Linked DNA regions of Tribolium castaneum. The protein of the gene in region 2 interacts with the protein of the main gene of each other region in a biochemical or structural test. Links are inferred from orthologs where the notes say so. Each region holds a gene or a part of one and is shown on either strand. Other genes may lie near its edges.

Region 1 (8,913 bases), on a different chromosome or scaffold from region 2:
TAAAAGAATAAATACTAATTCTATATAAAAACTAATTCTATCTAAAAAGGCCAAATTATAAGAATTATAATTATAATAAGAATTTGAATTAAATTAAATTAATTAATTCCTAAATTGATCCTAATTATAAGAAAATGTTAAATTTTTGAAAAATCCGCAGGCATATCATTTCATCATTGTCACCAACCTAATTTTAAAATCACAGCTTACCTGATGATGTATGGGATCACTAATACCAACTGTTGTTTAGTGACATTATCCCCTCGGAGTAGTTTATGGGCAATATCGCCCTTCCCCCCTCCAGTCTCAGCCACCCGTGATAATTTTTTGATTATAGAAGCACTAATCCATTGGAACTGGCGACATTTTGAACACCAGGAGCCATGTTGGATTTTGGCCATGTCGTAAACAGCCGGAATAAAATCGCTTTGCATCAAAGGTAGTAGATAATTGTGTGACCTAAAGTAGGCTATGAACCCGGGTTTTCCCCCTAAACAATTTCTCACCCTAATATCTTGTAAATCAAATCAACTATGTCCAAAATGGCGGATGAACATGGCCAGTGGAAGTAGGCCGTGCTTTTGATTAGGCCGAGGAGTAGTTCGGGGGTTCCCAACTGCGTAATCGGTGGCTTGATTTTGATGTAGGTTTTGAGCAAATCGACTATTTCTAAAACGAGGCGTCCTTTGATTTGTTTGACGCTACTTGAGTCCACGTCGAAACCTGTAAATTGTTTTTTTTTGTGACAGTGAATAAAATTAAAAATTATTACTTTGAATTTCTTCGGTTTCTTCCGAAATGTCCGAACTTTTCGAATCTATTTCGGGATTCGGGGATTCTTCACCTTCTGGTTTTGCCAATGGGAAGTCAGAAGGGTCCACTTCGCTACACACTGGCGAATAGTCGTCCGAATCGGATTCAGAAATACCTAAAAATAATTAAGCTATTGATTTAAATAATTAAACTTTGAAATATGATTATTTTCATCAAGTTGGTAGTAGTTGATATGGTATATTAACAATAGAGGGCGCCACGTTACGTCACATGACATTTAAAAGTTACTAACTTCACACTACATGAACGTTAGAACTGTCAATTTCTAATTTAAATTTGATGTCACAGCTTACTATCTCATGATTTTTTAATAAAAAAAGCACAACTAAGCAATTGTTTTCTGTTACCAAATTGTTTGATAAGTTTTTTTTTACCATAAAGTCGGGACCGAGGGCTTGAAGGTGGCGACAGCCCTGAAGTCCAAGACATGGCCATCTCAGATTCGTTGCTTGACCCAGGACTGTAGTCATTTCTGACACTTGAATAATACTTATCGATTTCTTCGTCGCTATCTGAACTAGAACTTTCTTCATCTTCCTTCTTAAAACAACAATCCAATCATAAATCAAGTTAAGATAATTTGTGACTTACATTCAAATCCACCATTAGCTTACTCCTCTTACTTTCCTTAAACTTGGCAAGAAAATTATTTCTGCGTTTTTTATCACTTTTATGATTAATATTAAGCGGATCAACGCTCCCGACTATCAGTTTTATTTTCTCATTCAAGACTGTCACAATGTTACACCTGACCTGATCCGCGATCAGGTTAAAGTTGTACTTGCACTTCTTCAAAGTTGATATAATTAAAATGCTACACTCGATCTGAAACCAAAGAATAAGCTCACAAAAATCGGGGTTTTACCCAAAAATTTACTTTATTATTAGTTTGAAGGGTGAGCCCACTTAGTACATTAATTAAAAGTGGAATGCTGTCGCCACACCTTTCATTTTCTCTATTTCCTGGATGGTCCAAAAGGTAGCAAAGACATTTGATACACTCTTCACATGTGGAATTAAACTCTACATAAAACAAAAAACCGGATCATAGTAGCCTAGGACTCTGAAATTAGGTTGGCAACATTGAAGAACGAAAAATAATTGGTAGTAACTCAACTCAAAAAAACTTTTCATGGCCTACTTGACGCAGCAACTTCTGCCTACATTACTCAATGTTGCCAACTTGAATTAAGTACCTTGAATGATCGTATCGTCGCTTAAGACTTCAATGAAGCTGTCAAAAATCTCCGGAACGGGCAAATCTGACTTCAACTGACTGATTTTCAAGAAGTTCATGACAATTTTAACGACTTGTCGCGGAGCCACTAAGAGAATTTTGCTAAGGTAGACAATCGAGTCGCCTTTGTCTGTACTTCTCATTTCTTGGATAGAGGGATAATAGCGATAGCGCGAATACTCGTGGAGTAACTTAACGATGTTAATAAGCACGCTTTCGCCTTTTTTCGTCTCTTGCCAGATGGCACCATACTTAATAAGCAACATCCCTACAGTTTTAAGCACCCCGTACGTTGTCACGAGCGACTGAAGCGTTTCTCGATTAACTAAGACCCTCAAAGCCCGAATACCCATTGTAATAGTAGCTTCGGAAACTTTCCCATTTTCTTCCTCCACCGAATCTTTAAGATACTTGACAATGTGTATAACAATTTGCGGTTTTTTCTCGATTATAACCCCCGCCCATTGGTCCCTGTGTTGGCACAAATTGCCCACAATTCGAAAAACGCGCCCGTTGATGCTATCATCTTTCGGGTAGCGCTTCAAAAGTTGATTGAAATTGGACAAAGCGCCATATTGACTGATCTGCAACAAACCGGTGAAACCCCCGAACCCGTGACGTCACACCTACCACATCCCTGGCACACTTTGCGTCAAGACAACAGTTCCCCAAAATGCTCAAGGAGACGTTAATCGTGCTCTTCTTGGAGGTTTGGAGGGAGGCTACGATTTGCTTAAAGCAGCCCTTTTCCCGGATTTTGCAAATGTTCTCCTTGTTTTTGGGGCAGTCGGCGTCTACCTTTTTTCGTACATCGATGAGAATCTTGAGTAATTTTGCGCTGTCTTGGGCGTCTTGAAGGGACGATAAAACCTCGTCAAAATTATTACTTGACATTGTTGGGCCGCCTTTAGTTCATTACACTGGACTGGGTGTTTTTTTCGGCGATTTTTGCAACAAAATCTGGCTCCAAACACCCGACATGTCACTCGAATGACGTTTGCGACCACTGAAGTACCAAGAAAATAGAGTGCGACATAATTGGGTCAAAAATCACAATTTTACAGCTAAAACGCCTCAAGACAACGATCAGGGGCCGGTTTGTGTCGCACTAGTAGTGTAGGTTCCACCGTTTCAACTAATTCGATTTTTTAGTTTTTGAGGTTAGGATGGAGCTGGACTACCAAATGGCGCTCATTTTGCAGCACAGGTTTGAACAAGAAGCTGGGCAAACCGAACAGTCTGATTCTGAGTTGGCCAAACAATTGCAAGAACAGTTCGAACAGGAGGCTGCAGTTGAACAGCCCCCTTCTAGTCTTGTCTATCACCAGCCTAAAAAGGGGTCCGACTCGACCAAATCACTCATAGACCCCTCATGGGAGCTCGTGGACCCCACCCCCGACATACACAACCTGTTCATAGCTTTTGACCAACGTTTTTTTTGGAATAAATTGGTGGCGGTTTGTGTCTCTTGGAGCAAGAAAATGACTTCGTGTGCTGGCATTTGCTCGTATAGTGGCAGAGGGGGGCTTTGTAGTATCACCTTGAGTGAACCGTTACTTAAATTAAGGCCCAGGAAAGACTTAGTTGAGACTCTTCTTCATGAAATGATTCACGCTTATTTATTTGTAACCCATAATAATAGAGACAGGGATGGGCACGGGCCCGAGTTTCATAAACACATGTACCGGATCAATAACGAGGCAGGTGGGTTCAAATTTTATTCTTAAAATAAGTAAGTAACACGACAAAAATTGTAATTAAGGGAGTTGGAGTTAGGGGGTTTGCACTATTGCACAAATGCGAGTTGCAGCTGTTGCAGTGGAAACCCTTTTTGTTCATTTTGTAGCGGCAGACTATTTTGTAAGCGACCATGTCGAAAGTGGCGCATCCTTTGGCTTGGACACCCTCTGAAAATGTTGAGAAATAGTTTAAACACTACTGAAACTCCACAGAGTTCAGAACGATTTAAATGATAGAAAACGTACGCTTTTTGAAGTTAAAACTGAAACACATGTCTGCTGAAAAATTTCCAATGCATTCTCTCAGTCTCCAGGGTTTTTCACAAAGCGTCCAATTGGATTGTGGGGGCCAGATGGGGACATAACTTTCTGATGGTGTCCAACATTCGTAGCAAATTATCTTCGCCAAACTGATTTCTGTAATAGTTATTAAGATAAGGGCAATACTGAGGCTTTTATGCCACATGGTTGACAATTTTTGCAATATACTATTATTTTATCGTAAGCATGTGGGCATAAATTATGTCTTATTCAATGATTATTTGTCAAAATTACATTTTTTTAACACATGTCATGTCTAAAATTAAACATTAATTAAAAAAATTGACTAATGGCAGTAGGTAATAAATAAAGACAAAGTATCTTTTATTAGATTCTGCTCTATTCTTTTTTTAGTTTTTTTTTCTTAAACATTGTTTCTATACCATTTCCTAGAATTTCTATGATTCTCTTCTAATTCTTTTCTAATACCATTTGTAGATATGAAATTTGGAGTCTTTTTCCTTTAGGATAGTTTAAAAGATTTATAACTTTTTTATAACATTATAGTTTATAATTTTTTCACTAGAGGAGAATCTAGATTTTTCTTTGGAATTAATATTCTGTAGACTGTAACTATTTCATATTTTTTAATAAATACTACTTCTACATTCTCCAAATTCTCTATAATTTTTTTTTGCTTATTTTTAAAATTATATTAGTTTCATTTATCTTGAATTTTTTTAGATTATTTTTTCTCATTTTTTCTGTCATATTCTTTTATAAAAATTCTTCTTTATATACGCATTTTTTAAATTTTTTTGTTTAAAATTTTTGTCGATTATTCTTTGTCATTGTTTTTAATTTTTTTTGAATTTTTTTTTCCGATTTCGTCTGTATGCAGATCTGAAATCTGGACTTCTCTTTAGATTATTTTGTTATGTTATGTTATGTTATGTTTTTTTTATAAATTTTTCCCCAGATGCTCTTTTTATTATTTTCTAGACTATTGTCGATTATTCTTTGTTATTATTTTTTTACATTTCTCTTAATTTTTTTTCTTCAGATGTTCATTTTTTATAATTTCTAGAGTTATAGATTACTCAAAAGTGCTCAAAGTTATATTACATACAGGCTGTTCGGTAACCAGTTATGAACACGCCGTATAAACACTTTTACACTTATTTCTGCATTCTCAATAAATTTTTTTATATTATACTTTCTGTTTTCAAAACTCTTTCATAGGTTAGAATTTTTCCTTATTATTTTTTTTTTCATATTTCTTGTAACTTTGTTCCCTGATTTTTTTCCTAAAGCCGTCTGCATATGTTTAATTGCATTTTTGTGTTTTTACTTTTGAGCAAGTAAATTCATGTTTTTTTTTTGCTACAAAAGTCGGCTACAACTTTTTAACATTTACTGTCATAGACATTTGAGGGGATTTTTAATTTAATTTAATATAATTTAATGGACTGTTAAAATTTAACACTGATTAACATAAAAAATCTAAGGGTCGGTTTACAGAAAGCGAAATTAAAATTTAATTTGAAATTAAACTAATTCGAATTAAGTTGCCATTTAAAATGCATTGACAAATGTCAAGTTAATCGCGATTAAAATTTAATTGCAATTAAAATTTTCTGTAAACCGGCTCTAAATTTGATTGGTTATTGCTATAGCAACCTACCATGTTAACGTCATTTAAATTTTAATAGTTTCGTTATATAAGATGATTACAAAGGATTTTCCATCAAGTTACCTGTTGTTCTTGTGACAGTTAAAGCCAACTTGATGTAAATTTATACTTGACATTGATTAATATTTATAGCCATTTAGACTCACAATATTTTCAGGGACTAGTATTACCGTTTACCATAACTTCCATGATGAAGTTCGTTTATATCAGCAACACTGGTGGCGCTGTGACGGACCTTGTCAGCACCGGAAGCCCTTTTTTGGCATGGTCAGAAGGGCCACAAATAGGGCTCCGGGGCCCAATGATAGGTGGTGGGCAGAGCATTTAAGGACTTGCGGTGGAACCTTTATTAAAGTAATTTTTTACCTTTTATCACTTATTTATTTTATTCACAATCCCTACAGTGTCAAAAATGTGATTGTGAACAAAATAACATAATATACATATAAAATAGTTCCCACCCGGGTGGTAATTGTATATTTGGTGCAAATTTAGGTCAAAGAACCGGAAAAGAAGAAACAGGAGAAGAAGAATGAAACGAAAAGTGTGAAGAGTAAAGATATTAGAGATTTTATGGGTGGTAATGTTAAAGGTTTCAAAGACTTGAAAAATGGCGTTGTTAGGGGAAAAAGCAACTCATCAAGCACTATAGTAGTCACTAAAAACACTAAAACTAGTGAAACTACTTTCAAACCGACGATTTTTAATGCCAGTACTAGTACTATTTTGAAGACTGAAACAAATAGCTCTAGTGCTAGTACTAGTACTAGTACTAAACCGAGTGATGATTATGTAGCTGTTCGAAATCATTGGGCCAACAAATTCAATAATGCCAATAAAAGACAATCATCCGAAGAATCATCAACTGTTTCCAAAATTCCGAAATTGTTTGGGTCTTCGCCTACTAGCACCCAAAAAAATCCCAATTCTGGTGAATTTTGTGAATGTCCTGTTTGTCATCAAAGGGTGCTGATGGCTGATTTGAACCAACATCTCGATCAATGTTTGCTTAAATCACCAGAAGAAAGAGAAAGTGTTGATCTTACTGATTCTTTCCATGAGGAGGAAGATACAAAAGAATGTCCACTTTGTAACAAAAAAATTGTAGCTTCCAAATTTGACACTCATGTTGAAAAGTGCCTAATGGAGGTTTATAACGGAGTTGAGGAAAAGTTGGCTGTTCCAAAAGCCCAAGAAGAAACGGTTTCGTGTTTAGCTTGTGGTAAAAAAATCGTAAAAAGTGAGCTTAATTCGCATTTGGATGAGTGTATGGTTGACATTTTCGATGACGAGGAAAGTAAAGATAAGGAAGTTTGTGATAAGAATAATTCGCAGTTTAATTGTCCATTTTGTTTGAAACTGGTGGAAGAGAGCGAAATGAAGGAACATATTGATGGGTGTTTGATGGCTGATAATCTCGCCGAGGCTTTTGCAGATGATGATTTTTGATTGTTAATTATTTTTGTTTTTTTTATGCCAAATATACATACTTTTTCTAACTTTGGTATTGATTTATTTATATTCCCTGACACGAAATATGCACATCCGAGGATTTTTTCGTACACACCTGTTGCCACCTGTTGCACTTAGAATAATTTAACTGAACTTGAGAATTGTAGAATTGGGTGGAGAAATGCTTTATTTTTACCTTTCTTAACAAAAAGTTAAGAAACTGCTGATTTTTTTATTTTTTAACCGTTTTAATTGTGTTATTTAAACAATAAAAAATGATTATTTTGAAGAATTTCGTCCAAAATAAGCCGAAAAGCCATAACAACATTTATGAGAGCTTTTAAATAAAATAGAGTCCAAAGTAACTTGTATTTAATTATTATTGTTATTATTAATTTTATTTTATTTAACCTCTTCATTTATTAAAGTCCAAGAGGTTACTTGTTTTACAACAACAATTAGTTTTGCCCATTCAGCCGATTTACATCGTTTTACAGAAATTATTTCTCAAAATTTTTTAAAAATCGGCTGAAGTCATTTGTTTAGTGAAATTTCTTCAAAAAATTAATTGAAACATTTCAAAATTACATAAAAAGTCGTGCAATTTTTTTATTTTTCGAGCAAAAAATCACGATTTTACTAATTATTTAATCTTGTATTTACACGATTTTATTCCAGAATGTAATTATTCGACGAAATATCGTCAATAATTACCGAATTGGATAAAAAAGTGTTACTTTCGTTTTTTTTAGAAGAACGTTTTTGAGCAAAAACTTAGTTTTGCAGAAGTTTGAAAAATCACAAAAAGTCACAAACTAAAAGTCGTAGAGCAATGCGGTTTGTTCCATTGAATTCAGCGGCTCATTTTCTGTATTACACCGCCATTTTTGCAAAACCACCTCACTCGACGACTTAGTAGGAAATTTATTTATTAACTTGAAAAATGGTGAATGCGCCGAAATAAAAATTTAAAAAATTATAACTCAAAAACTAAAAGTCGTAGAGCAATGCGGTTTGTTCCATTGAATTCAGCGGCTCATTTTCTGTATTACACCACCATTTTTGCAACACCACCTCACTCGACGACTTAGTAGGAAATTTATTTATTAACTTGAAAAATGGTGTATGCGCCGAAATAATAATTTAAAAAATTATAACTCAAAAAGTAAAAGTCGTAGAGCAATGCGGTTTGTTCCATTGAATTCAGCGGCTCATTTTCTGTAATACACGGCCATTTTTGCAACACCACCTCACTCAACGACTTGGTAAGAAATTTATTTATTAACTTGAAAAATGGTGGATGCGCCAAAATAATAATTTAAAAAATTATAACTCAAAAACTAAAAGTCGTAGAGCAATGCGGTTTGTTCCATTGAATTCAGCGGCACATTTTCTGTATTACACCGCCATTTTTGCAACACCACCTCACTCGACGACTTAGTAGGAAATTTATTTATTAACTTGAAAAATGGTGGATGCGCCGAAATAGTAATTTAAAAAATTATAACTCAAAAACTAAAAGTCATAGAGCAATGCGGTTTGTTCCATTGAATTCAGCGGCTCATTTTCTGTATTACACCGCCATTTTTGCAACACCACCTCACTCGACGACTTAGTAGGAAATTTATTTATTAACTTGAAAAATGGTGTATGCGCCGAAATAATAATTTAAAAAATTATAACTCAAAAACTAAAAG
Region 2 (6,866 bases):
TTAGCAAAAAAAATCAAAATTTTAAATTCCGTGAAAAATTGGTATAATACAGAAAATGAGCCGCTGAATTCAATGGAACAAACCGCATTGCTCTACGACTTTTAGTTTTTGAGTTATGAATTTTTTTAATGAATAAAATTTTTCAGTATGACAAATGGCTACCCTAAATTTAGGCAAAAAATTTTAAATTTTTAATTCTTGTGAAAAATTGATATAATATGTAAAATGAGCCGTAGAATTCAATGGAACAAACCGAAATTCTCTACGACTTTTAGTTTTTTTTTTATGAATTTTTTTAGTGAAAAACTTTGATCGCCTCTGTACCCGGGACCGTTACCCGGAGCGGCTCCGGGTTTAATCGAAAAAATAGAGAAAATTAAGCGCTATCAGATGGTTTTTTGTTCGTTGCTCTAAGTCTTACAGTTTCCGAGATAAACGCAAAAAAAGGTTTCCATTTTCACTTTTTTTCAATTTTCAACCGCCAATTACGGCGAAACTATTAGAGTTATCGAGAAACGAAAAAATCGAGGACAACCGGAATAAAAAACTCTACAAAATGGCATAGGACTCAAGGCGATATCTCGCAAAAAAAATTCAATTTTCAATCGCCGATTACGGCCAAACTAAAAGAGCTAGGAGAAAACGGTTTTTTCCATAGTAAAGAGCACATCAAAAAGTTACATTATTTTTTTGTGTAAATTTCAATTATGCAAAAATATATAGTCTTCCATTTAAAAATATTTGGTTCACCACCTTGTATTAAACACTGAGCATAATAAAAATATTTTTAGTTTGTGAACTAAATCTATCGGATAATAAAAACGGCATAACAATATTTCAATTCCCTGTATTATTAGTTTTTTAGGTTTTCCAACGTTGACTGTTACTAAGTTATTAGAAAAGATGGTTTTATCAGCGTTTTAAAAGATTATTTCTACGAATGTAGGACTCTTCTTGAGATTGGTTGTTGACGATCTCATGCGGCTTATGCCTGATCTATTTTCAACAATAGAAAAATTCGATTTTTGCAAGATAACCAGATATCGCCAGACTACAAATAGCGCCACAACAGTAGATAATTGAAACTTCCGACCAAAATGTACACCAAAATATTTTTGATTTCGATTTTGGCAATTCTAAGTCCCACAAATGGGGCGGTGGGTTAGTACCTCCACTATTAAAATAAAATACTCAAACCCGTTTATTTCAAGACAAAGTGATTTGTTACTACGAAAGTTGGGTCTCGGATTTCGCCCCCGAGGACATCGACGTGTCCGCCTGCACGCACGTCAATTACGCCTTCGTGGGCATCAACCCAGATGGGAGTTTCCGGCTGGACGGAAGCGATGGTAACCCCCGAACGTAACCGACCCACCTAACGCATAATTCCAGACGTTTTGCGGCGCCTTGGGGCCCTCAAGTCGCGAAACCCGGGCCTGAAGTTGCTGATAAGTGTGGGGGGCTGGAGCGAGGGCTCGACGAAATTTTCGGACGTTGCCGCCGATCCTGGTAAGAAGATCAACGTAGCTTACAGCACGCTCTACTACATGCAAACGTATAACTTCGACGGGATCGACATCGACTGGGAATACCCGGGCCAGCGTGGGGGAACCCCCGCCGATAAGGAGAACTTCATCGATATGTTGTGGGTGATTCGGAACGTTTTGGACCAGAACGGGGGCGGGCTGATCACGGTGGCGGTGTCGTCGTACCCGGACCCCAGCAGTTACAATGTTAACGCGATTTCGCAGTAGGTTTATACACGATTTTTTCGCCAACTGGGTGAGTTTTCAGGGCGGTTGACGCGATCAATGTCATGACTTATGATTTCCATTCGGCGAGTTCTGGACAAAAAACCGGGGAAAATTCCCCACTTTATGCCTCTTCGAGCGATTCCGATTGGGAGAGAAATAATGCCAATTGTGACGCGGCGATTAATAATTGGTTAAATAGTGGGGCTGACCCCACTAAAGTCGTTCTCGGGTTGGGTTTTTACGGGCAAAGTTTCCAACTGGCTGATGGTAATCAGCATGGGATTGGCTCGCCTATTGTGGGGCCTGGACTAAACGGTGGTCAAGTCATTTATGGAGAAGTATTATCTCTTTTTATTTATTTTTTTTTTGGTAATTGTGGGGATTTTAGTTGTGTAAATTGAACGATGGGTGGGTTAATGCGTGGGATGACGAGCAGGAAGTGCCCTATAAATATTCCGGTGATCAGTGGATTGGTTACGATGACCCACAATCGATTGCACTTAAAGTATTTTTACGAATGAATTTGCAAAATTGTGATCGCATTTTTAGGTTCAGTATGCCAAAAGTAGAAATTTGGGTGGTGTGATGATGTGGGCTGTGAACCAGGACGATAAAGCCGGGGCTTGTGGCGACAGGAATGGGTTATTGCAAGCCATTAAGAATAATTTGTAAATTAGGAAAAATACTTACCTATTTCCTATTATTGATTTTTTTTTTTGCTCAAACGGAAAATAAAAGGCAAATTCGTCAAAAAAACTCGTGTTTCGTTAGAAACTTTAATATAGGGTGATTCAAAAGAGCTGTACAATCTCTCGGGTGCTGATAAAGGACATCAAACTAAATTACAAGTTCTTATGATAAAAAATTGTTTGAGGCTTTTTTCACGAGATATAGCTCTTCAAAGTTAAATTATTTGCATTAGGAATAGTCACAGATGGCAGCCCGATTTTTAAAATAAACTGGCGATCTTTTGATCTAAACACTTCAAGGATATCATCAGAAAACGTCTTCGTAACCCACCAAAATCTTTATTTCAACCCAAAAAAACTCTCGTCATTACAGAATCCTTTTTTATTATAATAATTCAAAACTATTTCACAAATGAACTCAAAATGACAATACAAATAAAAAAAGAGTGCACATTGAGCCTGAATATTTAACTGTATAAATCGTCTTCAGGATCATCTTGGAAGTTGCCCTGATCGCCTCCTGTCCCTCCTGGCGCAGCCGAGCCTCCCGTTCCCGACGGGAACCGGAAGTTAGTGCCAAAACCACGCGACTGTTGCAGCGTCTGCGCGAACATTTCATACTTCCTGATGTCATTATCCGACACCGATCTTCGGGCAAATCTCATCGCCTCCTCGAAATGGGCGCGAGTTATCTCCGGAACCGGATCATCCTCATCCAACTGAAACAATTTCACATTCTCATTAAATTTGTGTTTTATTGCAAGAAAAAACTACTCACATCCATTGCGCTGTTCGGGTTCATGGCCCTCTCGCGCTCCCGCCGAATCTCGGTTTCGATGCTTTGGCGAATCGCTAATTTACACGCCCTTTGACAGATTTCCGTCAAATCGGCACCTGAGAATCCGTGAGTCACTTTAGCTATGTAAGTAAGATCCACGTCTTTTGCAACGGGGGATTTACGCAGATTTGCTTTGAAAATCGCTTCGCGAGACTTTTCATCCGGCAGCGGGATATAAATCAATTGATCGAGACGGCCGGGACGCAAGATTGCAGGATCAATGATATCTAAAAATTAAAAAAATAATAGAAAAAAATCGATAAAATTGGCGGGTTAATCACCAGGTCTGTTTGTGGCTCCGATAATAAAAACGTTCTTCTTTGCGCCCATTCCGTCCATTTCCGTCAAAATTTGATTAATGACACGGTCGGCGGCGCCTCCGGCATCCCCCAGGTTGCCTCCACGTGATTTTGCTATCGAATCCAACTCGTCGAAGAAGAGGACGCAAGGGGCGGCCGATCGAGCCTAGAAAGCCAAACACACATTCGGAAAATATTATTAAATTCCTCTGTCTGCATGACTTGGCAATAAAAAAAAATTACATTATGTTTCAGAGGAGAAAATATTTTAATGCCGTAAATAACGTCATTTTTGTTCACGCGTTGGCAAGATTTTGTTACACATTACACAATGAACGCCATAATAATCTTTTTATTTTTTTAATCCCATTTTTTTTCAATTTTACTTAAATTCAGTGCGATTTTAATTACACTTCGTATTCAAATTTCAAGAGAAACAACAAACCTTATCGAAAATGTCCCTAACGTTGGCCTCCGACTCCCCAAACCACATCGTCAACAACTCCGGCCCCTTGACCGAAATAAAATTCGCTTGACATTCATTCGCTATAGCCTTCGCCAACAAAGTCTTCCCGCAACCAGGTGGTCCATAAAACAACACACCACGTGACGGTTGCATGCCAAACTTCAAGAACTTATCAGGATGCTCAACCGGATACTGCACCAATTCCTGCAATTCCTTCTTAACATTCTGCAATCCACCGATATCGTCCCACGTAATATTCGGCACTTCGACCACGGTCTCCCTCAACGCACTCGGACTCGACTTGGTCATAGCATAACGGAAATTCTCCATACTAACAGCCAACGAATTCAAAACCTCCGCATCGACTTGATCGTCATCCAAATCAATCAGATCCATTTTTTCGCGGATTTGCTGCAACGCCGCCTCCGAACACAACGACGCTAAGTCGGCGCCCACGTGACCGTGCGTCTCGGCGGCGATTTGCTCAAGATCAACGTCGTCGGCAAGCTTCATATTTTTGGTGTGAATACGCAACACTTCCAGACGTCCGGTGGCGTCAGGAATGCCAATATCTATCTCGCGGTCAAAACGACCGAACCGACGCAAAGCCGGATCGATTGAGTTCGGGCGATTTGTGGCCGCCATCACGATAACATGCGAGCTTTTCTTCATGCCGTCCATCAGTGTTAACAATTGCGAGACAATTCGGCGTTCGACTTCGCCGTGGGTTTTTTCACGTTTCGGTGCAATCGCGTCCAATTCATCGATGAAAATAATAGCCGGTGAGTTTTTATCGGCTTCTTCGAACGCTTTCCTTAGATTACTTTCGGATTCGCCGGCTAATTTACTCATAATTTCGGGACCGTTGATTAAGAAGAAGAAAGCACCGGTTTCGTTGGCCACTGCACGTGCGATTAAAGTTTTACCGGTACCTGGAGGTCCGTACAAGAGGATACCACGTGGTGGTTTCACGCCAATGGCCTTGAAGAGCGACGGGTGGCGTAGAGGTAATTCGACCATTTCTTTGATTTGTGCGAGTTGTTTGCGACAACCGCCGATATCGTCGTAGCCGACGGCGTTCAAGGCTTCCTCCTCTTCCTGGGAAAAACAAGATAGAAAAAAATATGATTGTCACTCACTTAATTGGATTAATTTTTATTACTTCTCGTTTGATCGGATCGCCGTCACAATGGATGACGGTATCGGGGGCGACGATACAATATGGTGACGGTTCCGTTTCCACCACTTTGAATTCAACGGCTCGCATGCCACCACGGACGATGAAAACGTCGCCTTTGTGGATTGGTCGATAAGCTTCGAGGAAGTATGGTTTTAAGTACACCTCGAAGAGATTTCTACAAAAAAATATAGTTTTTTTTTGTAAATCACAGTGACTATGTTTCGTGTTTTTGTTTAATTTAGTTGCTACGTCACAAATAAATTAAGAAACATTGCTCAATTGTTTGCCAATACAGACGTTACGTCAGTTTTATAAACATCAAAGAAAAAAAAACGATTCTCTTTATTAACAAACACGATTTATTTTAATACCTGAAATAAACATCGCAAAAACGTTGGCAGCCCGAAAAAATAAAATAAAACCAATAAATTTAAGCCGCAAAAAATTGTCAGATTTGTACCGAATTTTGACAAATTTTTATACCAAAATACACAAGATTGAGAAAAACATGCTAAGATAAATTTAAAACAAAATAATGAAGGGCAATCTGTTATTATGTCACTAATTAACATAAGTTGTGTGCTTTCCTTGCAAATTATTTTGAATTGTTACTTATTCAGTCACTATTTAAATAAATAAAATAACAAATAAAATACAACAGTGAATTGAATTTAAAAAGGAATAGAACCAGTTTTCTATTTATGTCTACAGTCTGTCTCTTTTTACTGTTATAGGTACCAAAAAACTGTGAGGAACAAAGTTGTAAAAATTATACAAAAAAAATGTGCTTAAATCTTGAGAAAAAAATTTGTATTATCTTCAATGAAAAAAAAACTTGGTAGGTTCGGAGACTTAAGAAATATTGACTTTTTTCGGTTATTTTGTAATCAAAAGCCGATTACTATAAAAATACGATAATAGTCGCACAGTAGATAGTCATAATAATGAGTCACTAGCGATCAAATTGTGGGAAGTACCGATCAACATTCATTGGAATCACCGGATGTATAAGGAAAACAAGTATAATTTATTTTAATAATTTTTCGAGAAAGTTGTAGAAAAATAATGCGTGTTATTATTTGATAAAATCGTATGACTCAAAAATTACAAGAACGATCCCCAAATAATTGCGATAATGTGACAGTCATGTCATGACAGTTCAGCGACTCCATGCCAGCTAAGCAATTGGAGGAATTCAAACCGCGCGCTGTGGGCGCGCTCTCTCATTGGTAACCGGCAAACGATCCGTCTTTCCCATTGGCCACAGGACGGTTTCTTTTGTTTAATTACTTCTAGCCCCAGAGAGGGGCTTTTTCGTGGTAACTCACCCGACGAGCCCTTCGACCGTGTCATCGATGGGCAAAACGTGGATCCTCTTCCCGTATTTGACGTCGGGACAGGGCTGGATCCAGACGACGTCAGAGAGCCTAACCCGTAGATTATTCCTGACGATCCTGTTCATCCGGATCTTCTCATCGGGGCAGTTTTCGTCGGCCAGCACAATGCAGACGGTCTCTTTCCGCCGCTTCCCTTTCAGCAACACTGTATCGCCTCGGAACAGCATCAGCTCGTCCATTTTGGCCTGCGATAGCGCCACGACGGAGTTGTCGTCGTTGGTGGCCTCCTCCACCAGGAGTCTG

The links.
Region 1: the proteins of TER94 (region 2) and mh form a complex in vitro, tested with the Homo sapiens proteins (2 studies listed by BioGRID). The link is inferred for Tribolium castaneum from reciprocal best matches to the Homo sapiens genes VCP and SPRTN.

What each region holds. Positions count from the first base shown.
Region 1 is NC_087394.1:3,896,276-3,905,188, forward strand, and holds mh (DNA-dependent metalloprotease dvc-1), read left to right. Parts: upstream 1-3,038; 5' UTR 3,039-3,167; intron 3,168-3,223; 5' UTR 3,224-3,237; coding exon 3,238-3,775; intron 3,776-5,921; coding exon 5,922-6,118; intron 6,119-6,259; coding exon 6,260-7,213; 3' UTR 7,214-7,264; downstream 7,265-8,913. Other genes in the region: uncharacterized protein LOC103312501, read right to left, coding at 211-459, 507-723, 773-928, 1,209-1,374, 1,426-1,659, 1,712-1,857, 2,031-2,655, 2,702-2,965. UniProt on the Homo sapiens protein: DNA-dependent metalloendopeptidase that mediates the proteolytic cleavage of covalent DNA-protein cross-links (DPCs) during DNA synthesis, thereby playing a key role in maintaining genomic integrity.
Region 2 is NC_087396.1:21,356,228-21,363,093, reverse strand, and holds the end of TER94 (transitional endoplasmic reticulum ATPase TER94), read right to left. Parts: coding exon 6,555-6,866; intron 5,402-6,554; coding exon 5,209-5,401; intron 5,145-5,208; coding exon 4,026-5,144; intron 3,747-4,025; coding exon 3,563-3,746; intron 3,509-3,562; coding exon 3,222-3,508; intron 3,163-3,221; coding exon 2,911-3,162; 3' UTR 2,810-2,910; downstream 1-2,809. Other genes in the region: acidic mammalian chitinase, read left to right, coding at 1,098-1,161, 1,212-1,349, 1,393-1,750, 1,795-2,092, 2,143-2,259, 2,304-2,426. UniProt on the Homo sapiens protein: Necessary for the fragmentation of Golgi stacks during mitosis and for their reassembly after mitosis. Involved in the formation of the transitional endoplasmic reticulum (tER).